Caenorhabditis elegans: one gene and its partners. The protein of the gene in region 2 purifies or fractionates together with the protein of the main gene of each other region. This does not show direct contact. Each region holds a gene or a part of one and is shown on either strand. Other genes may lie near its edges.

Evidence for each region.
Region 1: the proteins of chil-5 (region 2) and C25E10.10 fractionate together in Caenorhabditis elegans (co-fractionation; one large-scale study listed by BioGRID). This does not show direct contact.
Region 3: the proteins of chil-5 (region 2) and rfc-1 fractionate together in Caenorhabditis elegans (co-fractionation; one large-scale study listed by BioGRID). This does not show direct contact.

The regions. Positions count from the first base shown.
Region 1 is NC_003283.11:9,052,556-9,062,121, forward strand, and holds C25E10.10 (TIL domain-containing protein), read right to left. Parts: upstream 3,799-9,566; 5' UTR 3,764-3,798; coding exon 3,761-3,763; intron 3,709-3,760; coding exon 3,651-3,708; intron 3,606-3,650; coding exon 3,533-3,605; intron 3,491-3,532; coding exon 3,414-3,490; intron 3,365-3,413; coding exon 3,279-3,364; intron 3,234-3,278; coding exon 3,137-3,233; intron 3,037-3,136; coding exon 2,921-3,036; 3' UTR 2,771-2,920; downstream 1-2,770. Other genes in the region: C25E10.8 (TIL domain-containing protein), read right to left, coding at 807-1,094, 1,140-1,210, 1,274-1,325, 1,375-1,377; Serine protease inhibitor swm-1, read right to left, coding at 1,713-1,997, 2,048-2,118, 2,179-2,227, 2,275-2,277; C25E10.11 (INSulin related), read right to left, coding at 5,094-5,341, 5,652-5,701, 5,749-5,777; C25E10.16 (Prohormone-3), read right to left, coding at 5,880-6,049, 6,589-6,771, 6,823-6,883; C25E10.13 (uncharacterized protein), read left to right, coding at 7,196-7,265, 7,721-7,878; UPF0046 protein C25E10.12, read right to left, coding at 8,190-8,318, 8,536-8,972, 9,499-9,566.
Region 2 is NC_003280.10:9,854,877-9,864,868, forward strand, and holds chil-5 (GH18 domain-containing protein), read right to left. Parts: upstream 4,800-9,992; 5' UTR 4,756-4,799; coding exon 4,700-4,755; intron 4,652-4,699; coding exon 4,503-4,651; intron 4,459-4,502; coding exon 4,372-4,458; intron 4,322-4,371; coding exon 3,234-4,321; 3' UTR 3,144-3,233; downstream 1-3,143. Other genes in the region: chil-4 (GH18 domain-containing protein), read right to left, coding at 1-201, 434-523, 568-710, 759-814; chil-6 (GH18 domain-containing protein), read right to left, coding at 1,060-2,147, 2,595-2,684, 2,729-2,877, 2,926-2,981; chil-3 (GH18 domain-containing protein), read right to left, coding at 4,992-6,079, 6,219-6,275, 6,339-6,487, 6,542-6,591; C08H9.18 (uncharacterized protein), read right to left, coding at 7,163-7,189, 7,238-7,285; chil-1 (GH18 domain-containing protein), read right to left, coding at 7,555-8,642, 9,093-9,206, 9,252-9,400, 9,449-9,495.
Region 3 is NC_003283.11:14,638,314-14,650,253, reverse strand, and holds rfc-1 (Replication factor C subunit 1), read left to right. Parts: upstream 1-4,274; 5' UTR 4,275-4,402; intron 4,403-4,452; 5' UTR 4,453-4,508; coding exon 4,509-4,542; intron 4,543-4,598; coding exon 4,599-4,666; intron 4,667-4,712; coding exon 4,713-4,817; intron 4,818-4,860; exon of another isoform or gene 4,861-4,867; coding exon 4,868-5,636; intron 5,637-5,685; coding exon 5,686-6,005; intron 6,006-6,058; coding exon 6,059-6,367; intron 6,368-6,482; coding exon 6,483-6,880; intron 6,881-6,933; coding exon 6,934-7,450; 3' UTR 7,451-7,587; downstream 7,588-11,940. Other genes in the region: pmp-3 (ATP-binding cassette sub-family D member 4), read right to left, coding at 1,676-2,192, 2,582-2,721, 2,772-3,064, 3,453-3,501; C54G10.1 (uncharacterized protein), read right to left, coding at 8,872-9,153; F43D2.7 (CX domain-containing protein), read left to right, coding at 10,683-10,742, 10,792-10,982, 11,164-11,305.

The DNA of each region.
Region 1 (9,566 bases), on a different chromosome or scaffold from region 2:
AATTAATTTCCTATAACTTTTGCCAAATTTTTTCTGGGACAAATGATATTGTGCAGAAATTGGCAGAACCTTTCTGACGCGTACCTATTGGTATTTATGAATGTGATTATTTTTATGTTTACGAGGTAGAAAACAATTGCAAATGCTCACGTAAAATAGCGTAGTCTTTCATTTTCCAGAATGTGCCTGGAAAAAACGCTGCTGTAAAAGAATCGTGATTTTTGAATTAAAAAGTTTTAAGCGTCTACGACATTTTCTAACCTAGACATTACAAAAGAATGATTGATCTTTTTTTGAATAATTTCCTTGCTTAAGTTTCTTATTTGTTTTTTGTGTGTATGTTCCTATATTAAGAAACCAAGTAGGGGATGAGCTCAGCTCTGCCACACGGTTAAATTTTTTAACGCATTTTTTAACGAATTTTTTTTCCAAAAAAATATATGATGCCAACATTTAAACTGTCTGTTTTTGTCGCTTTTGGAATGTTTATGAAACAACAATTGCCAATCCTAAAAAAAGTTTTGTGTGTAGCATCGAACCTATAAGACCAAATGAAATTCAATACTCTAGTGAGGTAATCTGTACCCAAAAACGAAAACTTTGTGTACTCCGATCGGACACAGTTTTCCATCGGAATGATATCACGATCACGGCATTGTTTGTGTTTTGTTCCAAAAAAGAAATATAAATTCGTTTCCATTTTTCCAGTTCATGGTAACCGAATGTTATTCTATTTGGCAATTTGTTGGTTTTTCTCAGAATATGAAATTCAACGATTTATTATCACAAATGTGAATACAAAATGTTCACTTTGGGCACTCCTTGAGTTCGGTGCATCTGTAACCGTTTCGGACAAAACCACTGGAACACTGGCAAACATTTACAATGCATTGTCTGGTACATGGTCTTGGTCCTGGTTTTTCACAAGTTGGCTCACAAGCGGTTCCGCATCGGAAGAATGTCTCATTTTCCGGACATTTGCTAGTTTCCTTGGTACAGGTGGAAATATCGACACATTTTCCAAGTGAATTACGCACAAATCCTTTCTTGCAGTCGCATGCGTTTTCAATACATTGAGCAGATAGACACACTTTCTGAAAATTAAATATTATAGGAGAACATGGAAAATTATAGATTACTGGAGTGTATCCGCATTGTGTCTCACAGTGATCATGGCATGCAACCATTTCCTCGTTGGCTCCACATGTCTCTGAAAAGTAAAATGTTTATTTTCCAGAAATATTTAACAATAATCATTTAAAAATAAACTTACTATTGGCAGCTGTCGCAGCAGCAATAAAACAGGCAATTATGACAAAAGTTCTCTAAAAACTCATTAGTTTTTGCATTGCTCTAATGAAAAAAAGAACGAACCATCACAGAAAGAAAAGTAATGCAGCAGTCTGATGTTTTCTTTTGAAATGACTCTATTTATTGTTCGAGAACACTAAATCACGCAGAGGACTCTAGTCTATCAAAACCGCCCTTTTGTTTGCCAGAGACATAGACATTGAAAAAAAACGATGACCAATAAATCCAAAAGATCAAACAGAGTTTTTTTTAGTTTTTCATGCCAGGAAAAATAATACTGATGTAACAATTGTGTTATCAATAATAGCACACAACTCCAGTTTCCTTCATCACACTTCTTTTTGAATTTTTTCCAATATTTGATGGTTTATTGAACTTGGAAATGTTTACTCAAAAACAAATTATTTTGGACAATCTTTCTTATCAATGCATCTGAGTCCATGACGAACGAAACCTTTGGAGCATTGGCAGACATTGACGATACATTGTTTAGTGCAAACTGTTGGATTTGGTTTCTCACAAGTTGCTTCACAAGCTGTTCCACAGCCAAAGAATGTCTCATTTTCTGGGCATTTTGTAGTTTCCTTGGTGCATTCAGATACTTCGACGCATTTTCCAAGAGAATTACGAACAAATCCGTCTTTACAGTCACATGTGTTCATGATACATTGCTCCGTGCAAGCTTTCTAAATTTTGAAACTTTCAGTAATGGGAGACACATTAAGTTAATTGTTACAGGGGTATATCCACATTGTGGTTCACATGTATTATGGCACGATACCAGCTCCTCATTGGCTTCACATGTTTCTAAAAAAATATTTATGATCTGGTAACCGTTCAAGTACCAAATCACATATATTTACTTACTTGTGGCGGTAGCAACAGCAACGATGCATGTGATTATGACAAGTATCCTCTGTAAGTGTATAATTTTTATATTAGAAAAAAAACTCAAAAACTCACCATTTTCACAATAACGAAGGGCAACCAACCGATGTTTTGCTTTTTAACGGCTCTATTTATTGTGCCGGAACACTAAAAAACGGCAGAACCGCCCTTTTTTTCGGAAGGGATGATACGAGAAACATGATAAGATCGAATGGGAGATATTATAGGTCTTCTCAATCTTTTGGAGAGAAATTTATCTTTCACCGGTCACGTATTTATTTTGTAAATTGGGCTCACAACAAAGGTTTAAAAATCTCGAAGAATTTGTATTCGAAAATTCAGAAAAAATCAGAAACACATTAAATCGAGAACCTTACGAAATTTCATTCCGACCAATGATTTTAATGAATCAATTCACTAGAAGATATCAATTTAAAACGTATCGCTTGGTGCAAATAGTTTTGGCTTGGCTCACTGGAGAGTATTTCGAATGTGTTTCATCCATAATTACCAACTTAACATTGTTTGGTTAACACTGACTTTTTGTATTCATTGTATTGCAACACGGAATAGTTCATAAGTTTTTTGGCTATTGAAAAGGAATACAAATATTATGTTAAAATTCGAATATTGTTATTTTTAAATTTTCTGAAAACATTAGCATGAAAACATCAATATTAAAATATGAGAAAAACAACTTTTTTTTTAATCATCGAAAATATTATTCAGTGGTATGTTGTGCAACACATACGTCCACAATTTGGCATGGTTTCTCCTCACAAGTCAGCTCCACAAGTTCACATTTTTCGTTCTCAGAGCATTCAAGAGTGCATTTGCCTGAATGAAAAATTTATGACTAGTATTATGTGCAGGTTTTCAGCGAATAATCACTGATGGTTAAATTGGTTAAAGTCTAGTAATAAATTTTGAAGCTTACTGCATTTATTTTTCTCCACACATTTTCCAGTTGCCGAGTCTCTGACGAGTCCTTTCTTACACTGGCAGACGTTTGTCATACACACCAAATCACATTCCTGAGAAACAATTTATGATCATACATAATCTCAACGTTGATTTACTGGATTCTCGTTATCACATGTCGGTTCACACGCTGAGCCACACGCCTTGAGCTCTTCATCGCCCTCACATTCCGGTTTGCGGATTGCTGGAAGTTTCCAAGAACCACTGGATATTTTTGGTTTCACTACACTTACGGATTGGCACGCACTTTGGATCAACTGAACAATCGTCTTCAGAACCACATTCCAAGTCACTGACTGGCAGTTCGCATCTGAAAAAATATTTTAAAATTTATAATTGGAAATATTAAAACCTATAATTATCAGGACATTTGATAGAACCACAGAGTGCGTCTGTGTGAGAAATGGGCATGTTTTCTGTGTTTTCTGAAAATAAGTCATTTGATTTTTAAATAAAACCTTGGTACTCACTAAGAACTCCAGATCTAGCAAAAGCAAGAAGAGCAAAGAAAATAAATAATTGAAAATTCTGAAAAAACACACTTTCATTTGTTGTAAGATATGAAGAAAAAACCACTCACCATTTTGATGAAAGAATTTCTGAAGAAACTTTCGGAGTGGGGAAGTTATGAGAAGGAAGCAATCATTGAAATAAAATTGACAGGCGTGAGACCGAGGATGAGTCAAAAGATTAATGACTTGGTGAGACCGGAGAGAGTTCAGCCGACCGGAATATTTCTTGAGTGCTGTTTTTTTAAGTTTAAAAATATGTTATTTACAAAATTACTTTCTACGAAAGTACGCCTGAGAAGAACAAAGAAGTAACTGTTTTCGGTTTTTGCTTGAATAGACTCAAAATGCGCCCTAGGCAAAATTTTGGTAATGAGAAATCTCAAAAATTATGCAATTTTTTTGAGAAGTCTTATTATGAAAGTTGCCCATTTGAGTATTTTTATTATATACAAGCAAAAACTCAAGACTGTTGGAACAGAAGATTAACTGCTGGGATGGGCTTTGAATATATTCAAAATAGCTCCAAAAGCCAGAAACTTCATAAAAATAACTCGCAAAAATACTCAAAAACTGTGTACAGCCGTTCAAAAATTTTTAACGTTGTTTCCAAATTGTGAAAAAAATAGTAAAAGAAACAAACAATAAATATTTTGTCAGCTAACAATCTTTGTTTAGAACAAACGACAATTGAGATACGCTGATCAGCTGCCAAAGTCGAACAATAGGTGTGATTCTAATAGATAAAACACGGTACTTTCCAGTTCCAATAATTCCAATACCCCTAAATCTAATTCATTTATGAGAAGTCTCCTATTGAAAATTGATAATTTTAAACACGTTTATGTGGTTAGTTTGCTCTCAAAACAGTTTGCTCCGTCGAAAATTTTTTAAAAGAAGCTTTCAGATAATAACTTTTTGATTATTCAAGTACAAGTTTTGGCAAGTCTACAAACTTCTTGACAATTCCCTCAAGCTTATATATAAAAACTTTGGCATTGTTTGTTAGAAATCGTTTGGTTATTCTGACATTTGAAAATTGATTTATTACACTGTATGAAATTCACAAAATTCCATCACAGTGTCGATTTTTTTAGCAAAATACAATTTGAATGATCTCTTGGATTGCTTCCTTCTGGACATGCAAAAATCTTGCAAGCGGGGCCAACAGGACATGGCTTGTTAATACATGGAATAGGCACAGGAATACATATGGATTGACCGTAACATGTTACAAAGTCACATGCATCTGGTAGTTGTGAATGTGAATATTTAGCCAGAAATATAAAATAACAGAACAGAAAAAGTAACTTCATTTCTATAAACTGAAGTGAATGAAAACAATCAAAAAGGAAAACATGGGAAAATGCATTGCGTGACTACGAAAAATAAAAGGAAATGTGCCTAACGAGAAGAAGTATAATTGAATTTTCTGTCTTGATAGTCCTCGAAAGATTTATCCGAGCAAATTGCCATCAACGGATCACATGTTTTATTTGGAAGACATTCTACTTTTGCAACTTTGCAAACTGTCTCTCCGTAACATTTCACTGTTGGTCCATTCAAACAAAGCCGATCGTAATCTTTCAAATTTAAATGAGTACTGAGAATAGTATAGGGACGGTTTTCCCGAGCCAATCTGGGTTTGTCTTCTGAAATTATTTGTTAGTCGTGGTAAAACTGCGTGTTTTGGAAAATGTAAAATAAAGTCATAAGTAATAGCTGAAGCCAATCAGAAATTAAATCAGAAGTTTTTCGAGCAAACAAAAAAAAACATTCAAAATTTGTTCAACGAAAATATAATTAAGTGAAAGTAAAAACCATCCAAGAATCAAATTTTTGGAATAGTTTTATTATTGGTTACTTTTTTGCAATGATACAAGATTTATATTTCACTTGTTTGCCATAAAACATCACTACAGATTTGGCCAGTCGAATAAATCTTGTTACAGAAATGCTTACCGTTTGCGAACGAGTTGAGATATATGATGACTATAGACATTAAAGTCACCCTGGAAGTTTAAATATTGAAGTTGGAAAATAATCGAAATGAACTCACGATATGTATATTGCTCGAAAGGATGCCATTTTAAGAAAAAAATATTGGTTGAAGGAAAATTTTAAAAAAATTAAGGTAGCACCATCGAAAAAAAACCTCATAATGTTTACGAGGATTGAATAATTATAGGTTTATGTTGTAAGTGGAGAGTCATCACAGAATGGTAAATAATTAATGCAGGTTGGATCATCTATACAAGGAACTCGGACAATTGTGCAAGTATTCATTCCAAAACAATTGATACCTTGGCAGAGAGTGTCTTTATCATTCGAGTTCATATAGTCTGGCTTGGATACCAGTACTGAAATAAATAAAATCCGTGATTAAAATAGTTTAAAAAAAATGGATTTTAGGCCTATTTCGATGACCCATTTCATAGTGATGAAAACTACGTGTTTTTTGGTAATTTATTTGCAGTTTGTCTTCAACCAATAAACATGATCACGATTCTGAAAAACAGTGAAAGGAAACTTAAATTACTCGAAAGGCCGTGAAGACAAATATCGTTTTTCATCTATCAGTCTTGCACTGATTTGTGCCGTACTTTGTGAAAACTCACGTCAAATCACATTTTCTCAATTTTCGCTCATTTTTCCGAGGGGGCATTCGAAAATTAGTCTTGAAGCCTCTTATCTTACAGTCTTACAGTCTTTATTTCTTTCAAATTTACGAACCGATCAAAAAAATGACATTGCATGCCAGATTAACAGAGGAAGTATGATATTTAGATTTTGAAATAAAATATACTACTAAATGCTGTATGTTGAAAAATTATCGGTTTCATGAAAGTTTCAATTGCAACAATATAAATCTTGACTGATCAATAAAACAACTTCTTACGTTCAACATTTCTGGAATCAATTCTTTCTCGTTCATAATCTTCAATGGTTTTATCTGAGCATTCTGGCACCATAATAAAACAATCAGGAGAAGTTTTATTAAAACAAGCTAGTTTATGTTCATGACAAATCGCATCACCATAACAAGTCACTCCTTCACACACATCCAACTCACACATAGCTTCTGAAAACAGTGTAGTATTCAATTATAAAGTCACCTTTACTGAAAACAAACCTTTATACAAAAAATAGAACACTAGCAACCAAAAAGTTGAAACGAGAAAGCTGGTAGTCATATATAATATAATGAATACGAAAAATGCCCGTCGTCGGGATATCAGGCGGAATGTGGGTTGGTATGGAGAATTGGAGACGAATTAATCAAGTTTCTGGCATTATTTGATTTTTCCTACCTTATCGGCTAAATTAAATAAATTTTTTTGTCGGTAGACGTAAATAACAAGTAGAGAAAATGAAATACTAAAAAGGATTAACAAAACTGTATACGGATTTATAAAGATGATCGCGTATCGGTCATATGAGGGTGTGAAGACTGACACAAAAGTAGGTAAAATGGGTTATGTTTTGAAATTTCTTGTTCATTGGCAATGCATTTCAAAATTTGTTTCATTTTTGTTACACTTGGGATATTAATGCTACTTGGCGTAAAAGCAGAAGGTAAGTTATTTAATCAATATTAATTAGTTATTCAAAAGTCAGACATTATTTAAACATATATTCATAAACATGAACCTGATTCGAACCGCTTGCACTCAATTTTTATGTGTATGTGAACCGACGCTTTATTACAAATCAGAATGCCATGAGAAAGCGCTTAAAACTTATCGTTTGTGAATAATATATGCACCTGACGTGTTATGTCTTTTTTTGAATATTATTTTTTATTTAGAAGCAATGATTAATTTGATGGTTTTCTCATTTAATTTTGAGCATTCTACGTATCCACATTTTAAAAATTCAAAAAATTCCTTTTAAAAATTGTATTCAGATTGAACTGCTCGAATGGAAAATAATTGTTTTTTTCAAAAAAAATAATATAAAATCTTGATCAATTTTTTTGGTTTTATAAAATTTAAAACTGTGCAAAAGCTGAATTTTTTACAATTTTTCAGTAACACCATCATTGGGAGAATTACTAGGAATCAATGCTGCCCCCGTGAGTTGTGAAGATGTTAAGTGTTTTGGTCAAAACTCATGCAGAACGGTGGCACCTCCATGTATTCCTGGAAAAACATGTCCAACTCAACCATTATGTTCTACCCAAATATGATAAAATTATACCCTTTTTTTTATACGTCGATGAAATGATTATTCGCTGTTTTATGTACATTTATTGGATAACATCAGGTCACTAAACACGGGAAGAAACAGTAAAAGAAATGCCAAAGTGAGGAAGACCGGTATAAAAGCATTTCGGGTCACACAAACACACAAATACAATTGCTAATGATACACAATTGAAAGGAACATTCGTTGATCAAGGCGACTCAGAAGTGAGAAACAGTACGGAACAAGAATAAAATCAAAATGCAACAGAGGGATGAAATAAAAAAGAGTAAAGCTTTTTGGAGATGTACAAGCTTATTGTTTAGTTTTTCCTGGGGGCAATGGAATATCAAAAATGATTGGATCATATGCACTTCGAAGCTTATGATCACAAAGTGCTGCATTGATGAATGTTGTTTCTCCATTCGTAGTCACACCATGCTTCTGCAAAAATAAAAATTACTTCAACTTGTTTTTGCAAAAATTGTTATTGCTAACAATTACAAAATAAGATTCACGCCACATCATCGGAAAATTGACCTTCATGCGGGCAAATAATTAAAAGTGCAGTATGTTCACAGCACAACCAGTATTTAAAAAAAAAACTAATTTATAGTCGAAAGAAATTGAAAACTGCGGCAAATTTTAGAGTCTTACATACTTGATGAACGTGTCCAAACACGTGATATTTTGGTTTTACACGTTGCTCGACAGTGTTCAAAAGTTCTGCACATCCACAAAGGATTCCATCCATTTTGTCCCAGGCATTAAAATCACCATGTCCAAGTGGAGGTGTATGGGTCATTAGAACATCAATTTTCGCGGGGATTTGATTCCATTTGTGAAGAATTTTTTGTCCTCTCTGACGGAAAAATGAGTATCCTGGCATCGAGTGCCATGGTGCTCCATATATTTTGAGTCCATATGCTTCATATGATTTATCACAGAGGTATGTACAATTCGAGAGAAGTTCATAGGCTTTATTGATTCCGAGCATGTTAAGGCCTGCCAGTTGACGTTCACTCATTTCTTCACCGTCTTCAAAACCGAGCTCATGATTTCCAGCAATTACTATTTTATGTTTGTGTGGCAGGGATCCTGAAATATTAGATTTACATTTAAAATTACAAATGAAAATGACCCTGCATCCCAAGCAGACAAATTTGGCAAAATCCAATAAAATGACCCAAATATATTTGCTAACTATGAATTTGTTATCACATTACTTTTTTCATAATTTAACTGGCACCAATTTTCGTTTAAAGTGTTAAATTTCAGGATAAAAACCTTGTAAAAAATATGAGCTTATCCGTCATCAACTCAATTTAAATAATCAAGGATTTGGTCTGTAACAAAATTTAGAAAATGACTCAGAAAACTGATTAAAAATTTTAATAGGAGAATAGCAGTAAATTTTATCAAAAATTATTTTCGATTTTAATGTTACATGCTGAGAAATGACACATTTAGCACTACAAATACTTTTCATCATCTTCAGTTTTAATTTCACACCGCACCTGAACGTTTTGATTTGATAGTTTGTTCTTATGCAACTTTCACTATACTATACTACGCTGATTTTATAGTTTATAACATTGTTTCTTCCTCCTTCCACTCAACTTACCAATTTCCGCATTAAACTTGATCACTTCTCCAATGTCTCCACAATTTGTAAAGTCACCAGAATGAATG
Region 2 (9,992 bases):
CATTTTTCATCTCTTCGAATTTTCGGCGAGAACGTTCTCCGCCAAAAGTCATATTTCCATTTTTTGGAATAGCAAACAAGTAAATAATATGCGTTAGCATTTGGAGTTGTTTTCTTGTTAGAGCAGTGTTTTCGAATTCTGCAAAATATCCAACAATTCGCTTCCCACACAATGCAGCAGGAGGAAAAATTGTTTCAGTGCCTGAAACTCGTAATTCTACATCAACTTTAGGGTTAAAAATTTTCATAAAAAGCTCTTATGATTTTAATTATTTCTAAGTGGCAGGTTAATGCTTCCATCTCGCAGTTTCCCAATGTTCATCAGATTAACCACTTTCCGATTACTTTTTTAAAAATATTTTTTACTTAAGCTTGTTCCTTTTTACATGTTAGAGCCTTAGGATAGCACAAAAAAGAGCTTAACATAAACTTACTATATTTAAACAGTTGTTTCGTTGTAGGCAAATTTTTTTCTGTCGTGGTTTTTAATTTTTTCGATGAAGGAATGAACACTCTTATCAAATCTATAAAGTTTTTAATTATTAATTTACGGAATAGCTCCGCTTACTTGAAACTGTCGGACTTTTATGACGAGCCACCATTATTAACTTTGACAATGAAAATGCAATTGGTGCGGATAACACTAAAATTGTTATCAAAATATAACAATGCTTGATAAAATTTTTCCATTGACGGTTGTTTTTTTGTGTTCTGAAAAAGCATGATGGAATTAAATTAGAGACAATCAAACATACTTACATGTTTTGATTTCTTAAAAGAGGGACACTTGTTGAGTTCAAATCAGCAGGATTCATGAGAACAAATTTGAATGGTGGAATAGTTTCTGAAATATAATTTAATACCTGTTTCAAAGGCGTGTTATAGAAATAAAGACAGTTCAAATGAGAGAGGAAACAAGTATCGTATCTGATTAATAACAGAACTAACGAATGATAATGATCAGACGTATATATTAATGATTTATCCAATTTTCAAGTTATTGAGACATTCATTTTGAACGGGAACAACAGAAAAATGAATTTGAAATAATTACATTCACTCATTCACACTTGTATTTTATCGTATTCTTCTCATCTCCAGTGCATAATTCAGCAGAAGATACAACTTTCAAAAGAGTGTGATCATCATCATCCTGATCAATTGTCCACATGGTTATTCCTCCAATATTATGATCAGCAACATATCGATTTTTTTCTCTCAAACTTCTTTCCTCTTCTAATGTCATAAACCGGGTAGGTGGACCAGGAATCCAAATATATGAAGTTTTCGTTAGATTATGAAATTTAATGTCGGTCAGGTTCCAGTTGTATTGACGTAGTTGCCTCCGAGGTAAAGCAATTGGTAATCTTCCAGAGTTGTTATCTTTCCATATATCATCAGAATCATCACGTAATGGTAATTCGGCGCCGTTCCAATATGTTGCGTGGAACGAGACAATTATATTGAATTTACTTGGCTGTCCAGATTTACAAATGTAATACTTCATATTCTCATCGACGATTCTGCTTCCTCCTCCGTACAATGGTGAGTCTGGTCCAATTTGATTTAAAAAACTATTAAACAGGTAAATGTTTAAAAAGTCGACAAAATTTGAGAATTCCACCAAATTAGATAAATGGTTGACATTCCTGGAGATCACTAAACTAATCACAAAAGTTTCTTTTCTATTCAATTTCTTTTGGAGTTCCGTGAATGCGTATCGAAGTTCTCGAATAAACATTAAATAGTTGTTCTCATCGCTGTATTTTGGCCATGTCCAAAATATATCGACTCCATCTATATCGTAATTTTGAACAAAGGAGACAATGGAGTTGGTAAACAAATTTCGTGACGTTTCCTTGGACACCAATCCCGAAAATTCACCAGAGCTATACTGTCCGCCTATGCTGATCATTACTTTTAAAGTACTGCTTTCCTTCCTTGCTTCATTTTTCATCGCCACAAATTTTCGGCGAGAACTTTCATCGCGAAAAGTTAAACTTCCATTTTTTGGAATAGCAAACAGGTAAATAATGTGTGTTAACATTTGCAGTTGTTTTTTTGATAGAGGAGAGTTTTCGAATTCTGCAAAATATCCAACAATTCGCTTTCCACACGATGCAGCAGGAGGAGAAACTTTTTCATTGCCTGAAAGTAAAAATTCTGGGAAATTGCGTCTTATAAGCCCACCACCAGAGATGGCAAACCGGACGTCCGGTTTTCCAAAGGTTTTTTATTCTGATTTTCCAGCAGTTCCCTAATAGTAAGTTAGGCATCAAAAATATTCTAACCGTTTCTAATTAAAAATTGACTTTTGATAAGGTGTGGTCATGATGTCAGAAAGATTTTTATGTTTTTGGTTTTTATTACAATTGGCAGCTTAATGCACGTCTTAACCTGACTACTCTGAACAGATTAATCAATCCTATACCACAATAGAGAAGCTACGTTCAGTTATACAAATGAGATCTATGTATGCTAGAACTACTAAAGACGAATTATGGGAAAAAGGTTACTAAATCGCTCACACCTACACTGTCTTTCTTTTAATATAATCAAACTTCAGAGTGGCACACAAAATCGCACTATACTTACTTTTTTGAACAAGTTTTGTTGTAGGTGAATTATTTGTTTTCATCGTAGTTCTTGATGTTTGCGATGATGGAATAAGCATGTTAATCAAATCTAAGAAGGTTTTAGATATTAATTTCCGAAACAATTTCTCTTACTTGAAACTGTTTCACTTTTATGACGAGCCACCATTATTAACTCTGATAATGAAAATGCAACTGGTGCTGATATAACTAAAATTGCAATTAAAATCAAGCATGGATTGATGAGATTCTTCCATTGCGCAAAACGGTTGGTTTTTCGTGTTCTGAAGAAGCATGGTCGAATTAAATTAGAGACAATCAAACATACTTACATGTTTTGAATTCGTAAAAGAGGGATACTTGTTGAGTTCAAATCAGCACGATTCATGAAAACAAAATTGAATGGTGAAATAGTTTCTGAAATGTAATTTTATACCTGTTTCATAGGCGTTCTATAGAAATAAATTCGAAAAAACTGAGAAAGAGAAAACAAGTATCTTATAGGATTAATAACAGAACTAAAAATAAGATAATGAGCAGAAGTAGACATATATTAATGATTTATCCAATTTTCAATTTATTGAGACATTCATTTTGAACGGGAACAACAGAAAAATGAATTTGAAATAATTACATTCACTCATTCACACGTGTATTTTATCGTATTCTTCTCATCTCCAGTGCATAATTCAGCAGAAGATACAACTTTTAAAAGAGTGTGATCATCATCATCCTGATCAATTGTCCACATGGTTATTCCTCCAATATTATGATCAGCAACATATCGATTTTTTTCTCTCAAACTTTTTTCGTCTTCTAAAGTCAAAAACCAGGTAGGTGGACCAGGAATCCAAATATATGAGGTTTTCGTTAAATTGTGAAATTTAATATCGGTCAGGTTCCAGTTACGTTGACGTAGATGTCTCCATCGTACTGCAAATGGTCCTCGTGCCACGTTTTTCTCCTTCCATATATCATCAGAATAATCACGTAATGGTAATTCGGCTCCTTCCCAAAATGTTCCGTGGAACGAAACCATTATATTAAATTTACTTGGCTGCCCAGTTTTACAAATATAATACTTCATTGTCTCATCGATGTTTCTACCTTCTCCTCCATACAATGGTGAATCAGGTCCCACTTGTTTTTCTCGAAACTGTGTTGAATAAATATTGAAAAAGTCAACAAACTTTGAAAAATCTTTCAAATCGAATGACCAGTGTTTCTCTTTTGGAACAATTAAACTTATGATATATTCGTTTTTCCTATTCCACCTTTTTTGAAGTTCAGTGAATGCGCTCCTAAGTTCTTGAATGAAACTTGAATAACTTTTAATATCTTCGTATTTTGGCCGCGTCCAGAATATTTCGATTCCATCTATATCGTTTTTTTTGAAAAATGAGACAATCGACTTGACGAAAACGTTTCTTGACGTTTCATTAGACACCAAACGCGAATATTCCTTATAATAATCATGCCCGCCTACACTGATCATCACTTTTAGAGTAGAGCTTGCCTCCCTTGCTTTACTTTTCATCTCTTCAAACTTTCGGCGAGTTTGTTCTCCATCGAGAGTAATAACTCCATTCGTTGGTCTAGCAAACAGGTAAATAATATGGGTAAGCATGTGAAGTTGTTTTCTTGATAGTCCAGCGTTTTCGAATTCTGCAAAATATCCAACAATCCTCTTTCCACAAAATGCAGCAGGAGGAGAAATTGTTTGATGGCCTGAAAATGAAACCTATGAAAAAATTAGGATCCCCCCCCTGGATACTCACTTTCCTGAATCAAATGTTTCGGAGGAGAGTTTGTTTTTGTCGTAGTGCTTAGCTTTTTTGATGACGGAATAAATATTTTTATCAAATCTGAGATGTTTTTAGATATTAATTTCCGAAACAATTTATCTTACTTGAAACTGTTTCACTTTTATGACGAGCCACCATTATTAACTCTGATAATGAATATGCAACTGGTGCGGAGAACACTAAAATTGCAATCAAAATAAGACAAGGCTTGATAAGATGCTTCCATTGAATTAGGCAGCTTATTCTTCGTGTTCTGGAAAATCACTGTTAAATAAAGTTACAAGCGATTAAATATACTTACATTTGTTGATTCTCTAATAGAGGGGCATTTGTTGAATTTGAAGGAACAGGGTTCATAAAATAAATAATTTTTAGGAAAAAATTAGTTCCTGAAATAACCTGTTGATTTTTTTAAACTTGCCCTAAAAAGTCAAATCTGAGGAGGATGGTGCAAGTATGTCATCAGATTAACAATGAGTGTTTTCCAACTATCAAAAGCCATCAGTAACAGTATGAGGATTTATTTAACTTTCAACATGTTTCCCAAAAAGCTAATCAAAGAAGAAATTAAAATTAAAAAAAAAAACACTAAATCAATCACATTTGTAATTAATCTCATTCTTTTCCTTTCCAGTGCATAATTCTGCAGAAGAAACAACTTTCAAAAGAGTGTGATCATCATCATCCTGATCAATTGTCCACATGGTTATTCCTCCAATATTATAATCAGCAACATATTTAGTTTTTTCTCTCAAACTTCTTTTGTCTTCTAAAGTCATAAACCAGGTAGGTGGACCGGGAATCCAAATATAAGAGGTTTTCGTTAAATTGTGAAATTTAATGTCCTCCAGGTTCCATTTCTGTTGAAGTAGCTCTCTCCAACGAACAGCAAATGCTCCTTTTGTCAAGTTTTTGTCTTTGAATATATCATCAAAATCATTCCGTAATGGTAATTCGGCGTCTTTCCAAAATGTTCCGTGGAAAGAAACAAATATATTAAATTTACTTGGTTGACCAGTTTTACAAGTATAATACTTCATTGTCTCATCGATGTTTCTACCTTCTCCTCCATACAATGGTGAATCAGGTCCTACTTGTTTTTCTCGAAATTGTGTTGAATAAATATTGAAAAAGTCAACAAATTTTAAAAAATCTTCGAAATCGAATGACCAGTAGCTCTTTTTCGGAACAAGCAAACTAATGATGTACTCGTTTTTTCTATTTGTCCTTTTTTGAAGTTCAGTGAATTCGTTTCGGAGGTCTTGAATAAATATTGAATAGTTATTCACATCTCTGTGTTTTGGCCACATCCAAAATATTTCGATTCCATCAATATCTTCATTTTTGACAAACGAGACAATGGACTTGATGAACACGCTACGTGACGCTTCGTTAGACATTATCGCCGAAAATGCACCAGAATGATCATGTCCGCCCACACTGATCATCACTTTCACAGTAGAGCTTACCTCCCTCGCTTTACTTCTCATTTCCTGGAATTTTCGGCGAGTTCGTTCTCCATCCAGAGTCATAACTCCATTCGTTGGTCTAGCGAATAGGTATATAATGTGTGTTACCATTTGGAGATGTCTTCTTGTTAGACCAGAATTCTCAAACTCTGCAAAGTATCCAACGATCCTCTTTCCACACAATGCAGCAGGTGGAGAAATGGTTTCATTGCCTGAAAACTGAAACTCTGAGTATCGTCAACTGAACCATTCACGTGATAACCATCACTGTTCATACAAAACGGCACAAACGCAATGTGTTCTAATACAACGGTTGCCAGTCACCAATAGGTATTTTTAAAAATGGCTTACTTTTCAGAGCATGCTGTGAAGTTGTAGAATTGTTTAACATCAAAGCATTAATTGATGCTGGAAAGATGACTTTTTTAAGTTTTTCAACTTAATGTTAAATTTCAAAATAACTTTACTCACTTGAAACTGTTTGACATTTACAACATGCCAATATGATTAACTTCGAAAATACAAACACAAATGGTGTGGATATCAATATAATCGCAACAAGAATCACACAAGGCTTGACAATATTTTCCCCTTGAGTTAAAGCGCGGGTTTTTAGCGATCTGGAAATACATAAAAGGAACAAGGAATGAATCCAACCGAAACAATATACTTACAACTTGTGATATTTTAGAAGAGGATTATAGGTTGTATTCAAAGAATTCATAGTGGAAACCAACTTCTTTGAATAACTGAAATTTTCTTAAAGATGATACCTATTGGTTAATATATACCATTTTCAAGGCGTGTTAAAGAGGCAAGGTTAAATCAAAAAAATAAAACTGAGGAAGAGGAATCAAGTATCAAACATGACTATAAACGGGGTTCAACCAAACTAAAGATAGAAAATCAGCGATAATACATTCTGACTTATTTAATTATCACAATATTTCCCATCAGTAAGCCAATTACAAAATCGAAGTTGATGGTTGGTTTCTGAACGGGCCCTTTTATAATCAGGAAAGTACTGTAAAATATGTGATGGAAATTCAAATCAAAAAGTTCAAAATACTGCATACACATACATATGATGTTTCTCAAAAAACTCAATGCAGCCTAGGGATGCTGCACAACTATTCGTATCGAGATCCCAGCACAGTTGCATTGCATTGTAATTGTAATTGATGATGATTTAGTAATGTGCAACACATTTTTTAAACTTACGTTATGTATCAGCAGTCGACGTATGTATTTCCAATAGAAATATTTGTTCATATTGAACAATAAATTCCCGGGCGCTATCCAGAGTTAAGCGGTTGATTTTGCTGGAAAATACACATTAAAATTAAACTAAAACGGTTACAGAAACTCACAATTTTTGATTTCCTATTTGTGGAAAGTGTCAGAGCAACAGGGTTCATTTCAAAAACAAAATTGTTCGAATAGTAAGATGTCTATATTTTTCAGAGACGTATGATAGAAACTAAAGCAATTAAGAAAATAATTGAGAATGAGAATACAAGTATCATATCTGAATATTAACAGAACTAAAAAATAATCAACAGCAATGCACAATGAGGATTTATTCGAATGACAATATATTTTTATTATAGATCCAAATATTTGTTCGAGGTTTGATCATTCCCTAGTTGGGGATCCGTGTTTGACTTTTAAACAAAGATTAATTCACTCAATGACAATTGTATTTAATCGTATTCTTCTCCTCTCCAGTGCATAATTCAGCAGAAGATACAACTTTCAAAAGAGTGTGATCATCATCATCTTGATCAATTGTCCACATGGTTATTCCTCCAATATTATGATCAGCAACATAACGGTTTTTTTCTCTCAAACTTTGTTCGTCTTCTAAAGTCAAAAACCGGGTAGGTGGACCAGGAATCCAAATATACGAAGTTTTCGTTAGATTATGAAATTTAATGTTCTCCAGGTTCCATTTATGATGAGGTAGTTCTCTCCAACGTAAAGCAACTGCTAATCTTCCCGATTCGTTAACTTTCCATATATTATCAGAATCATCACGTAATGGTAAATCGGTGCCTTCCCAATATGTTGCGTGGAACGAAATAATAATATTAAATTTACTTGGCTGACCAGTTTTACAAATATAATATTTCATAATCTCATCGACGTTTCTACTTCCTCCTCCGTACAACGGTGAGTCTGGTCCAACTTGATATGAATAACTATTAAACAAGTAAATGCCAAAAAAGTCGACAGAATTCAAGAATTCCACCAAATTGAATAATAGGTTGAGATTGCTGGAGGCCACTAAACTGATCACAAAATCTTCTTTTCTATTCAATTTATTTTGGAGTTCCGTGAATGCGTAGCGAAGTTCTTGAATAAACATTAAATAATTGTTTTTATCTCTGTATCTTGGCCACATCCAAAACATTTCGATGCCATCTATATCGTATTTTTCAACGAAGGAGACTATGGAGTTGACGAACACGGTACGTGACGTTTCATTAAACACCAATCCCGAAAATGAACGAGAATTATAATGTCCGCCTATGCTGATCATTATTTTCAGAGTAGAGCTTGCCTCTCTTGCATTACTTTTCATTTCCTCGAACTTTCTAAGAGATCGGTCATCGACAATAGTTATAACTCCATTCCTTGGAATAGCAAACAGGTAAATAATGTGTGTTAGCATTTGAAGTTGTTTTCTTGTTAGACCAGAATTCTCAAATTCTGCAAAGTAACCCACGATTCGTTTGCCACATAATGCAGCTGGAGGAGAAAGGGCTTCATTGCCTGAAAACTGAAAGTCAGAGTATCATTCACTGACGTACAAACAATGAATGAATATTTGGACGCAAAGTTGTGTTTTCGGAGTCAACATTCTCATAAATTCTTTTGTTTTGTTTTATATGTGAAGACTGGCGGCTTCGTGATTACAATTTGACGGCACATCAGCTTATAAGATTTCAGATTTTTGTGTATTATTTCATATTTACTTTATACATAGTCATATTGTTCAGAAAACTCAAGAAAAGCACCTAAAAACTTGGCTAGTAAAAATTCAAGCAGTTACGTTTTACTATTGAACATCTAGCAGTGGACAAAAAACGTATGAAAATCAAAATGTCGAGGTATACCCGCATAATTAATAAATTGATACTCAGTAATGAAAACACGACCTAACCCATCAAGTTAATAACCTCATATCTTTCAAAAAAAAAGGCGCGTTCAACAGATACTTACTGTTCGGGGCATCCAAAAGTGGAGGTAGACCAACATATTTTGTCGCAGTAGAAGATTTTGTTTTGATCATAGTTCTTGATTTTTTCGATGATAGAATAACTATTTTTATCAAATCTGAAAAAAAATGTATATATTAATTTTCGAAATAGTTCCGCTTACTTGAAACTGTCGGACTTTTATGACGAGCTATCATTATTAACTCTGACAATGAATATGCAACTGGTGCGGAGAACACTAAAATTGCAATCAAAATGAAACATGGCTTGACAAGATGCTTCCATTGAGTTAGGCAGCTGGTTTTAGGTGTTCTGAAAAATCATTATTAAATTATATTTCAAGCGATTAAATCTACTTACATATTTCGATTTTGTAGAAGAGGACTTGTTGAATTCAAAACATTCATACTAAAAAAAAAGAAACTTTAGATGACATCAAGTTTCTGAAAGGTGATGTTATAAAGGAAGAACGTCAAATAAGAAAAATAAAACTGAGGAAGAGGAATCAAGTATCTTATCTGATTAATAACAGAACTAAATAAAAACAATCAGCAGCAACACACGGTCAGGATTTATGTATTCAACCGATAATGTTGTTTTACTAGTGAGCCAAATAATTAATAGAAGTTTTATCATTCCCTAGTTGGGGATCTGTGTTTGACTTAAAATTGATTAATTCGGTCAATCACACTTGTATTTAATCTTATTCTTCTCATCTCCAGTGCATAATTCAGCAGAAGATACAACTTTCAAAAGAGTGTGATCATCATCATCCTGATCAATTGTCCACATGGTTATTCCTCCAATATTATGATCAGCAACATTTTTCTCTCAAACTTTTTTCGTCTTCTAAAGTCATAAACCAGGTAGGTGGACCGGGAATCCAAATATAAGAGGTTTTCGT
Region 3 (11,940 bases), on a different chromosome or scaffold from region 2:
GTCTCCCCTCTTCTTCTTGTAGTTTAATCATCATCATTCATTTAAAAAAAAGAGCATTGATGAGATCATCACATTGTATCTAAATGCTCCAAAAGAGTCAGCTGACATTCCCTCTGTTCCATCACCCAATTCATTTTTCTTTTCTTTTCTTCTTCTGGCAACAAAACGACGGAAGGAATTGGAAGAAGAGACGAAAAAGGAGTGCCGATTGTGTTGTCTTGTGACTGCAGTTCAACTGCTGCTCAGAACAACGACCATCTGCTTCCCGGGGTGACAAGACACTTGAAAGAAAGAGAGACGAGCACCACAAAAATGGATGCATTAGTGATTTTGGATCCTTTGAAATGATCTTAGATTTTTTGAAGAAAGACCGACGATCGGATCTCGACAAAAGTTAAAATCTTCAAGTCACTACTACCCGTTCCACAAGATCCCGTAAGACAGATTTCAGTTCACTTGCCCTAGATATCACATTTCCATTGGTTTTTCAAACTCTAAACATTTCTTTTCTTTTTTTGTAAGTTGATAGGATGCTTCCTGTCAAAGTTTCTGAATTGTTTTAATTATAGTGCACGACTCATTGAGCAATCAAAAGTTTGGAACAATTTCAATATTAACTAAAAGGAAACAGGAAACATGATAGGACGCTTCCGAAGTAAGCTGCTCAATTGTTATGATTATAGTGCTCACTGCATTGCTCAACTCAATGAACAATCATAAGATCAACACAATTTCCAATCACTTTGAATTGAACAGACACCAAAATGCCAGTGTGACCTGATAGATTCTAATTTTTTATGATTATAGTCCTCGATTTACTGAATATTCAAAAAAAGTCGAAAGTAGTATTTTCGGACTCAGCGACACCGGAAACAGCCAACTCATTGTATTCTTCTGTTTTCCATTTTCTTCTTCCCATTACAAAATGCTTTTTTCTTCGATATTCATTCACTAGTTACTACGACCAGATGTCGTTCTGAACTAAGGCGGCAACAACAGCTTGTTTTTAAGAGTATAATGATGGCCACTTCAACGACCAGGTACTTTGGTTTCATTTGGCATCGTTCCCTCATCCGGAACAACCAGAAATCTCAGTCTGACGAAAGGGAGAGAGAGACGATACGAATTGAAATGTGAAACGGATAACTAGCATCCATTATTAATGCACTAGAGCATGCGAAATTGACTCAATCAGTGTCGAGATTTCGAGAGTCAGAATGAAAAGAAAATACTCGCTCGCCGCCGCGTCAGGAGACGAATCAGGAAATTCTATCGAAACTTTGGAAAGTGACAGGAAGATGAAAGTTTCAAAAGTGGGCATAAAAAAGTCTTTCGATGAAAAATTAGATTTCTAAAACATTTTTTACATGATTTTAGAAATTTAAAATTAAACTATTAAAATTAAAATTTAAATCCTTTGAATGAATATTTCAGAGATTTTAAAGATTTTTAATTAATAGAATTTTTTTAAAACATTTTTTTAAAATTTAGCTCGATTTTGAACATTTTGTTTTTAATTTTAGACAGATTTAGACGAGAATTTATTACATTTTTTTCTGCATACTTTTTGCTTTTTGTCTTCTTATCAGTATCGAATTGCATCGAAACATCGATGATCAAATTTTGAGCTTTGCATCTTTTTTTTCAGATATCTTTTTGAAAAGAAACAACTTACCCGTGAAACAATTCCATTCAATTCTGCAGGTGAAACGTCGTCATAGAGATGAGTGATGAACACGGGAACACCAATGATAAGATACGAAAGAATTCCACCGAAATAATCGAAAACATTCGTGATACTGTTTAGAACCATTCTCCATTCAGTTAGCGATTTTTGAGTTTCAATTAAATTTTTTAATTTTTGATTCGTCATAATATTCTCCAGAACACCAGCACGATAGAAGGCGATTGCTTCGACATTCGAACGAACTTCCATATGTCTTTGTCGGAAATCTCCTTCCATTTTCTCCTGTTCTGATACTTTTTGAACAATCGGAGACAAAATCATCTTGTTGATAATTGTTTGGATACAGAAATAGGTGTAGATCGCTGCGGGACCAATCCAACCGGAACTTTCATAAGTTAGCCATGTGTAATATCCAATTATGAATGGAGCTGTAGCAATTGGAGCTAGAAGATCATTGGAAAGGATTCGAGTGGCTTTTTCAATATCTTGGGTTAGACGTTGATCTCTGGAAAAATATCGAATTTAAATAATTTAAATTGAGAGAAAAGTTTTTCCTTTCAAAATTAAATTATCACGATAAATTTTTGATCGTTAAATCTTGTGTTGACATGTTGGTACGCGCATTTTAAGGCATCAAATTTTATTAATTGTTATAATGTGCCTATATCAACAAATTAACGCGAAATAAACAGCAATAAAATATGATATTTTTATTCTAAGCTGTATTTTAGCTGTTGCGACAATGACAAGTTGAACAAATTTCAAATTCTAGCTTAACTTGGTTTTTTCCAAATTAAGCGAAAAATCTAAAAACTCATAGTCAGCTTTTCAATTAAAAGAAAAATTGTAAAATATTATTTGATTTTATAAAATTAATTTATATAAAAAACTTACGGATTATCAAGCATATCCCCAGAAGAAGATAGCTTGAAGAAAGCTTGTCTCTTGAAATATAACCTATGCATCGTGAGATTACATACTTGACGACTTTTGATCGCTAACATATTTGTAAGATATTTGAATACTGCTAATGTCTGAAATTAAACGCTAATTAGGATGAGAAAATATCGAATTTCGATCTTACAAAAGCTTTTCCAAGAATAATCGCGGCTCCCCGTGCACACAGAATTTTAAACGTGTCAGCATCCTTGTTTCCCAGTGCCACGTAGAACAGACTTGGCTGGATTCCAACTAAATACGTCATTACTTGATCGAGAGCAGTTGCGATGAGCAGTGCTCCGGCGAGCCACGCGGTTATCGATCGACGATGACATGGAAACAGGATTTTAAGAAGACGCCAGAACCTCCGAAAGAAGAGGAAGTCGAGGGCCAATCTGGCCATTTTGACCGGATTTTGGGCCGAGGCGTTTTTGCGACCTGAAATTTTGTGATTAGGAAGGCTTTTTTCAGAAGATGCCCCAGAAATAGACATTAAGAAGAGGAGGAGTGGAGTTGAATTCAAGAAAAATAGTGAATTTCAGTGGAGATTTTAGACAAACTTGAAGCTTTTTTTATGACTGGACAATTCTACTGAGATCAACCGGAGCAAAAAACAAAGCATTTTTCTGGAATTTAAAATGTTTCAAGGAGAATATTTAAGACAACCAAACACCATTCAAATCCGAAACAAAAAAGAAAAGAAACGTAGGCCGGCCATACCATCCCATTCAAACCAAATGAGGTCGATAAAGGCGTTGAAAAGAGCACAAAGAAATGAGCACAGAGACGTGGACAATGAAGAACAGAAATGGATAATGATTATCACCTTTTTCTGTTCGTACTTCTTCCAGTTGAATTTCTTGATCCGACTCCATGCGGGATGTGCAATCTGGAAAGAGCTGGCTGTGAGTGAACATGCAAAAACATAATTTATATTTACAATAACAATAGAGATAACGACGATCAAAACAAAACTAAAAAACAAAAGCTATTCAAGGTGCTGCTGAGTTTTTGTGCATTGATAACAATTCAGTTTTACAGAAAAAAAAACAGAAAATGAAGCTTTCGGCATAAATTATTACAATTTTATGTTCCAAACATAAATAAACAGACTATAATGATTCGAATATTTTGAGAAAAAGCTTCAGTTTTCGACGGTTTTGCAGGAATAAGTTCGGTCAGCTGTACACGCAAATACATTTGCGTCCGCACACAGTGTAACGAGGAGAGTGGGGGACAGGAGAAAGTGAGGCAAGCGGAAAGAGAGATTGCAAACGCAGACGATGAAGAAAAAAATGATGGGCGGGGAAGCATTGGGCACTTTTTGGGGGAAAGATGAGGACCCTTTGATATTCAGAATTTTATATTCAGATTTATAACGTGATTCGTGCGAGGAGAATTATCAGTTTTATATAGGATCTTTGAGTTGAAATAAGACGAGAATTTAATTTTTTATCAACAAAAAATCGGGAAGATATGTAACGAATTTCTTGAACGGAAAATAGCAAGGAATCTTAAAAATTTATGAAAAATAAATTGCAATTTTCATACTGTAGAAATTAAAGGGACATTACGAATAAGCCGAATAAGGCCTCGGCACGATTTCAAAAATGCAAATACGCTCTGTTGGAATTTGCTTTTCCCGCTCAGTTTTTTAAATTTTAAAACTTTTTTTTTCATTCTTTTTCATTTTGGCTCCTCAAGATTGTTCCTGCTTTTCGATCGTTTTTTCGAAACCGAAAATTACGAAAATACACCCAGATTTTGGCGATTTTTGTAAGCCTTTCTATAGTTTTTAATCCCCAACAAAAATTATATTTTTTAAGCCGACGGAGAGAATCCAATCCCTCGACATTTACGGAAGATCGCCTCAAAAAAGGAAATGAGTACAAAAAGAAAGATTGTGGTTTCTTCGGGTAAAAAACAAATTGCATTCTGTGCAAATGTGTATTACGAAATTTCTTTTTTTAAGATTCCGATGATGATATGCCATTCACCCAGGAAAAGCAAAAGAAGGCAGCGACACCGGCGAAAAAAAGGGTTCGGAAATTCATGTGAACTGAACCCTCATTGAGAAATGTTTCAGACAAAGCCAGTAGTACTAACCGATGACGACGAAGAAGAAGAAAATGCACCTCAAAAAAAGACTGCACCAAAAAGATCGAGAAAGCAAGAAAAAGAAGAGAGCGATGTGAGAAAGCACTCTAATATCCATGAAATATCGCAATAATTAGCTTTTAGATAACCTCTGACGAAGACGAGCTCGTGCGCGGAACTGATGAAAAAAAGAAAAGAAAGGGTGGAAAAAAGGAGTTACCAGTTGGTCAAAAAACGCTGGATTATATGTTCAAACCTTCTTCGTCATCTTCGAAACGTGATGATCCTAAGAAAAAAGTCGAAAAAACATTAGTGAATCCCGCAGACTTCTTCAAAAACTCACCAGCGCCATCTGCATCAAAACTTCCAAAAGTTGCTCCGAAAACTGTTGAAAAACCAAAAACGCCAGCTAAGAAGCCAGTGGAGATCAGCCCGTCGACCAAAGAAAACACTAAAACAAAGAAAGTGTCGGACGATGAGTTCGTAGATTCTGATGATAGTTTTGACACGTTCACTCCTATTACTGTGAAAAAGAAGACACCTGAAAAGAGAAAGGAGACCCCGAAAAAGAAAGAGCTTCCTTCTGTCAAAAAAGAATTCCCAAAGAAGCAATCAATTCCTGTCAAAAAAGAAAAAGAAACTCCACAGAAAAAGGCGTTATCAGTGAAAAAAGATCCACCGAAAGTAACCTCCGAGTCATCTTCGTCGAGTCAAGTTTCCACGTCATCAGTCGTTTTTCAACCGAAACCAAGTGGGCCACCCCCAGCACTTTCATGGGTTGATAAGTATAAGCCGAAAAGGATGGGAGAACTTGTTGGCCAGAATGGAGACAAAAGCCCAATTAATAAGCTTTTGGAATGGATTAAAGACTGGGCAAAACACAATCTTGGCGAAGGGGCAAAAATTAAGAAGCGTAAGTAATTTTATTTCTATTTTATTATAATATTATCGGCAATTTTCAGCAAAACCAGCTCCATGGATGTCATCTCAAGATGGTACATCATTCAAAGCAGCTCTTTTATCGGGTTCTCCTGGAGTTGGAAAGACTACATGCGCCTATATGGCTTGTCAACAACTGGGCCTTCAACTTGTCGAAATGAATGCATCAGATGTGCGTAGTAAGAAACATCTCGAAGCGAAAATTGGCGAACTCTCTGGTTCTCATCAAATTGAGCAGTTTTTCGGAGCGAAAAAGTGTGCTCCACAAGATAATCAAAAGGTTCATCATATCCTGATTATGGATGAAGTCGACGGAATGTCTGGAAATGAGGATCGAGCTGGTGTGAGTTTAAATGAAGAACTAATATATTAATATTCAAATGTTTATTTTTACAGATCTCTGAGCTCATCCAAATTATCAAGGAGTCTAAAATTCCAATTATTTGCATTTGTAATGACCGGCAGCATCCGAAAATTCGTACACTGGCCAACTATTGCTATGATCTTCGTTTTCCAAAGCCACGTGTCGAGACTATTCGTTCTCGGATGATGACCATCTGTTCTCAGGAAAAAATGAAAATTGGCAAAGAAGAATTGGACGAAATTATCGAGTTATCCGGTCATGACGTCCGGCAAACAATTTACAACCTGCAAATGAGGTCAAAGGGAGTTGGAGCAAAGATCAACCAGAAGGATATGGCTGTGGTAGGTCTCCTAGCCGTGAAATTTTGCGATTTTCGCGCCAAAAATGGGGTACTTGGTCTCGATACGAAACTTGCGCCTGGTTATACAAATTCTGAAATCTTAACAACATTTTCAGGATGCATTCTCGGCGGCTCGTCGTCTCCTGGATTCTCGTACGACATTAATGGAAAAGCAGGAAATGTTCTTCACTGACTATGGAATCATGCCACTTTTCGTCCAGGATAATTATCTCAATATGAAAAATGAAAAGCATAGTCCAATCCAAGCGATCCGTGGAATACGAAAAGCTGCAGACTTCATTTCCCTTGGAGACCTTATTGATCGGCAAATTCGTGGTGGAGGATCCTGGAAGTTGCTCAATGAGCAGAGCATGATTTCTGCTGCACTTCCAGCGATTGCCACTGGTGGACATTTGAAGGCAATGATTCAGTTCCCATCGTGGTTGGGAAAAAACTCGACAGCTGGAAAACGGAAGAGATTGCTTCAGCAACTGGTTCAACACACACATCTCAAGTAAGTTACGCTAAATTCATTATGGGAATTAGGAATTTATTTATTACTTTCAGAGTTTCTGCTGGTACTCACTCATTTGCCACTGATTATGCTCCAATGCTCCGTCAGAAAATAACGAAACCACTTCTTGAACATGAAGCTGATGGAATTCCAGATGTGATCAGCACAATGACAGAATACGATCTCATCAAAGACGACACTGAAGCACTCACAGAAATTGTTGCTTGGCCTGGAAAAATTGATCCGGCTAGTAAAATTTTGAGTAAGGTGAAAGCATCATTGACTAGAACTCTAAACAAGACTGGTCGAATGCTTCCATACTCGATGGATTCTGTGTCAAAAGGAAAGAAACGAGGTGTGAATTCAATTGGAATTGAAATGGACGAAGAAGGAAATCTAGTGGAGAAATTTGAAGATGAAGATGGAGAATCCGATAATGAGGATAACGAGGAGAAAACTACTGATGTTGTTATTAAAGTTAGGACTGGTGGAGGTGCCGGAGCTTCAAAATCTGCTCGAGGTGGACGTGGTGGTGGTCGGGCTCGTGGAGGAAGAGGAAGCAAGAAATGATTATAGATGTCCAGTATTATTCTAACTATTACCGTAAACTTGCAATAAACCCTCTTGAATGATCACTATTTCGACAAAGCAGATATTCTTGCAGGAAAACTATTAAAAACTGGATAAAAAATCATGTTACAACGATTTATTTGAGCACGATGAAACAATTTAATTTTAGTCATTTTGCACCAGGAGGACAACGTATTATGGTTTTGCCAAAAATGTTGAAAATTTCGTTCAAGATCATTGAGATATTCACAACTGTTTTCTATATTTGTCAAGTTAGTTCGCATTGAAAGAGAAATCAACTCTGACTAAATTGAAGACAATAGAATCGTTGTGAAAACTGGATGAACCACGAAATTTCGCGATATAGTGGTCTTTCATAAAAAGGAATGAAATCGTAGGGAATTGGACCAGCAATTGTGAAAGCATCGGGAGGGATTGTAACATAGAAAATGTGGTAATGGAGTGCACGTGGTGTCAAAGTGTCCCATATTGGTTTGATCTACGTAGAAAACGTCGTAGATCTACATAAATGCGGGAGAAGAGACGCAGAGTTCTCAACTAATTTTGCATGGTTAAAAACGTGCCGACGTCACATTTTTTGGGCAAAAGATTCCCGCATTTTTTTGTAGATCAAACCGTGATGTGACAACCTGATACCACGTGGGAGTGGACTAGAAAAACTAAGCAAGAAATATGGATAAATGGAGAAAAGAAGAATAGAACTGGAGGAGGAAGCAGGAACTATTTTGAGCAGGAAAGATGTTGCACTGCGATTTTGTGGCCTGAAAAGTTAGAATTATGAAATCCTTGTTTTGTGGAAGTTTCAATTGGAAACAAATGTAAAGGAATTATCGTAATTTCGCAATTATCTGAAACACAAAATTAAATGCACCCATGGGTATCGCAGCGAAAAAATTCTCCTTGACAAAACTTTCTGATTTTACCGTCATCTCTGGGCACATATTTTCAACAATTACTGAAAGCTCTAGAAGATTTCAATAAAAAACAAATTGTGTGTCTAGCTATGAAGACAGATCCAGCTAAAACGGTGCGCCTTTGCGCCAATCGGTCTCGGCACCCCAATTTTTTGTTAAATTCAGAGTACTGTAATTTCAAACTTTTGTTGTTGCGGAATTTTCAGCGATTTTTCAAAGTTTTACGATAAACTATGCATTTATTGAAAATTTAAACCCATGAGAAACTCTATGAATAGTCGATGAATGTTCTATAGAAACAAGAGTTTGAAATTACAGTACTCTTTAAAGGCGCACACCTTTTGAAATTTAACAAAAATTTGTCGTGTCGAGACCGGGTACCGTATTTCTGGTGCAAAAACTGCTATCTCTTCTGGGTAATATTCGTTTTAGTTTTCAATATAATTTTTCAAATTCTCACCTTCCAGTTGATTCAAATGGAAATCTTCATGAAAATAGCCATCTTATCATTAGAATATTTTGAGCGGTCTCAAAGAATGCTCCCACTTTCAAGTTCATAAGGTAGTAGCAGTGTGTCTCGGAGCACATTACATCACTCTGGTCCAGCGAGCAGAAGTCGGCTTGGCGGAAAGGAATAGTGAATCGGAACTGCAAAATCTGGAGGTGATGTCCTCCAGGAACTTGTTCCATTCTCATGAAGAGAAGGCGGGCGTGAATAACTTGATCAGGAGCATAGTTGCCTAGTAGGATAATGGAAATGTCTGGCATTGCCAAAAATAAGATAGAAACTGACGAAATGGTAAACAGTCTACCACGTAAGTGGGCGTGAAGCGTTGAATGACCAAATAGGTGAGAGTTACACATGTGAAACGAGAAGCAAGAACAAAATACTGATAAGAAATAGCGAGTGAGCAGTTGATCAGAGTGATTCAAGACTGTGATACCGCAAAGGTTTGCAACAAACATATGCATTCATTTCTATATATGTCTGCTTCTCCCGTCTCTCGTCAGTTTTTAAGATGTGAGTTCAATAATTTGGAATTTCATGAAAACTAGTAAATGAGTGAGTCAGGGATGGGTGCTAACTTTTTTTTTTGGAAAACGGCAGGTTCCCGGAAAAAAAATGAAAAACTTCGACAAATCGGACCTTTTTCAAAATTTCACAAAATTGAAAATTCACCAATTTGGTACAATGATCAAATTATTATTTTCCAACTTGCAAGCGATACACGATAAACATGCAACATCTTAAAATGAATGTTTTAGAATCAGATTAAAGGGCTAGGATGATTCAAAAGGTTGATAAATTCTGACAGAAACTAGTTCCAGTTGAAACCCTCATTTTTATGTACCAAGAATCGGATGTAGCCTTATCAACACAACTGAAATATTTTCAACTAAAACCGTACTAGATTTTTAGACACAAGTCATTCTTCACTTTCCTATGATTTCTCCTGTTTTTTATCCTGCTTCTTCTCATGCTCTTTTTCTACGCCTTATGTTCTTTCACTATGCTCATAATCTCCCAGTCCACCCTCCGACATGAACCTTGTATGTATCATCTTTCTTTTCTTTCCACGCTTCTTCAAGAACGTAATAAATTATTATTATTATTATACTGACTCTTCCTGTGTAAGTTATGAATGATCAAACAACAAGCATAACATAACGCAATACAATTGTATTTCAATGGTCAATGAATTCCATATCAATCCTTTCAGCCTTTATGGCTCATTGAATGTTTCAGAGTCTTTTAAAATAGTGATCTTTTGGCTTCTGCTGCCGCCATGTCTTTTGGCAAGAGTCTTCTTAGCAGTTGAAGCTTTCGCTATGAAAGCTTAGGCAAGCCTAAGATAAATTATGTGATGGGTTTTGTTTGTTGTTTAATATTTAATAGCTTCACAGGAAGACGTAGGATGCAATTGAAAAGTACTGATTTCAGTTGAAAATAGTTGCCATTTTGATGAGGCTACACACAGTTTCAAACTGACCACTAATGCCCTTCTTTTTTGAAGCTTTACTGGTCAGTTTAACTTTAAATGCACATGAAAATGTTGCCATGGTTGAAATTGTATTTATAGCGTCTATTTATTCTTGGTATCACTGTAGATTGATAATTATCGGAAAATCCAATTTTCTAAAGACCGTCCTATTCGTCTTTTTTTTTGTTTGAAAAACGCTACAAACTACGTATGTTCGAGAAACTGTACGTTTCTCTCAATGTTTAAAAAGAAATTGATCAATCTCTTGGCAGTTTTACGATCTATTGGTTTATATATATTTTTTCATCATAGATCATGAAATACTGGGTTATAATTTTATATTTTATTGGAAAATTCATTTTCGCCAATTCAAATGTAAGTTTTGTTTAATATTAACATATGTATTGAATGATAGTTAATTCAGGTCAAATGTCCAAAAAATTCAATTGAAAAAGAACTTGAATGTGCCATCAAATGTTGCTCTTCATTCGTGAGGTATTATTGTTGTGGCATTGAAGAAAATGAACATCCTCAAAAAAACGATCGCTATGTTGATTTTAAAACGCAGGGAATGCCAAAAGCTGACAGATATAGGCCGAATAAAAACGGTTGCCCGTACGTTTTCTGAAATGAGATTGAAATATCACTAAACTACGTATCGAATTTAAAATAATTTATTTCGCCAGCCACTTAAACAACTAATCGTCATTTGCACTCTTCTTTTAAACAGTCAAGAAAACCTACAACTTTGAAAATTTCTAAAATAACCAAAACAACCAAACAAATATATTTTCAGATTTAATTTCATTGCTATCGGATTGATATCTTTTATTGTAATCTCAATTCTTTTTTCCTTCTTCTGCTGGCTTTATCGCTGTTGTATTCCGCAACGTTATGACAGTGTGCAGTACAGATACCAACAACATGTCAACAGTTAAGAAGTGCTAAGATTTCTTGAAAATGATACACACTTTTCAAACACACTTTTAATTCCAATCATGTCTCTTGCTGTGTAGGTTGTGAAAGATAAAACAACAAACAATCCCACACACACTTTAAAATCACCCACCCCCACCCACATTTGACCACGGACTTGTTCCAATCGGTCAATAATTAGTTTATTCCTCCCCACTACATATTCAATCGTTTGTTTGATATATAGATTTTTGTTTGTAATTGATTGTTTTCTGAAATTTTTAATAATTGAGAAGAAATAAATAAATGAACAAAATAAAAATCACACAATAAAATTTATATCCATCTCAATCCTTTACAGCCTTTGCAGCTCACCAAGCGTTTCACCTACTTCTGGCTTCTGCTGCGGCTATGTCTCTTGGCAGAAGTACTCTTTGCAGTCGAACAGTTTGAGAATTAATCATTTCACCAATTTCTGAGATCAATTTTCTATCACTGACTTACAATTAATTAATGAATATAATGTTTTTGAAATTTTAGTTCTTATTTGAAACATATCTTTAAATCCTTAAAACATTTAAAAAATCTGTGAATTGTCTTGAATTTTTTCTCATATTTAATTTTTTGATCTACCTTTCGAACTGGACCCCGCCCCTAT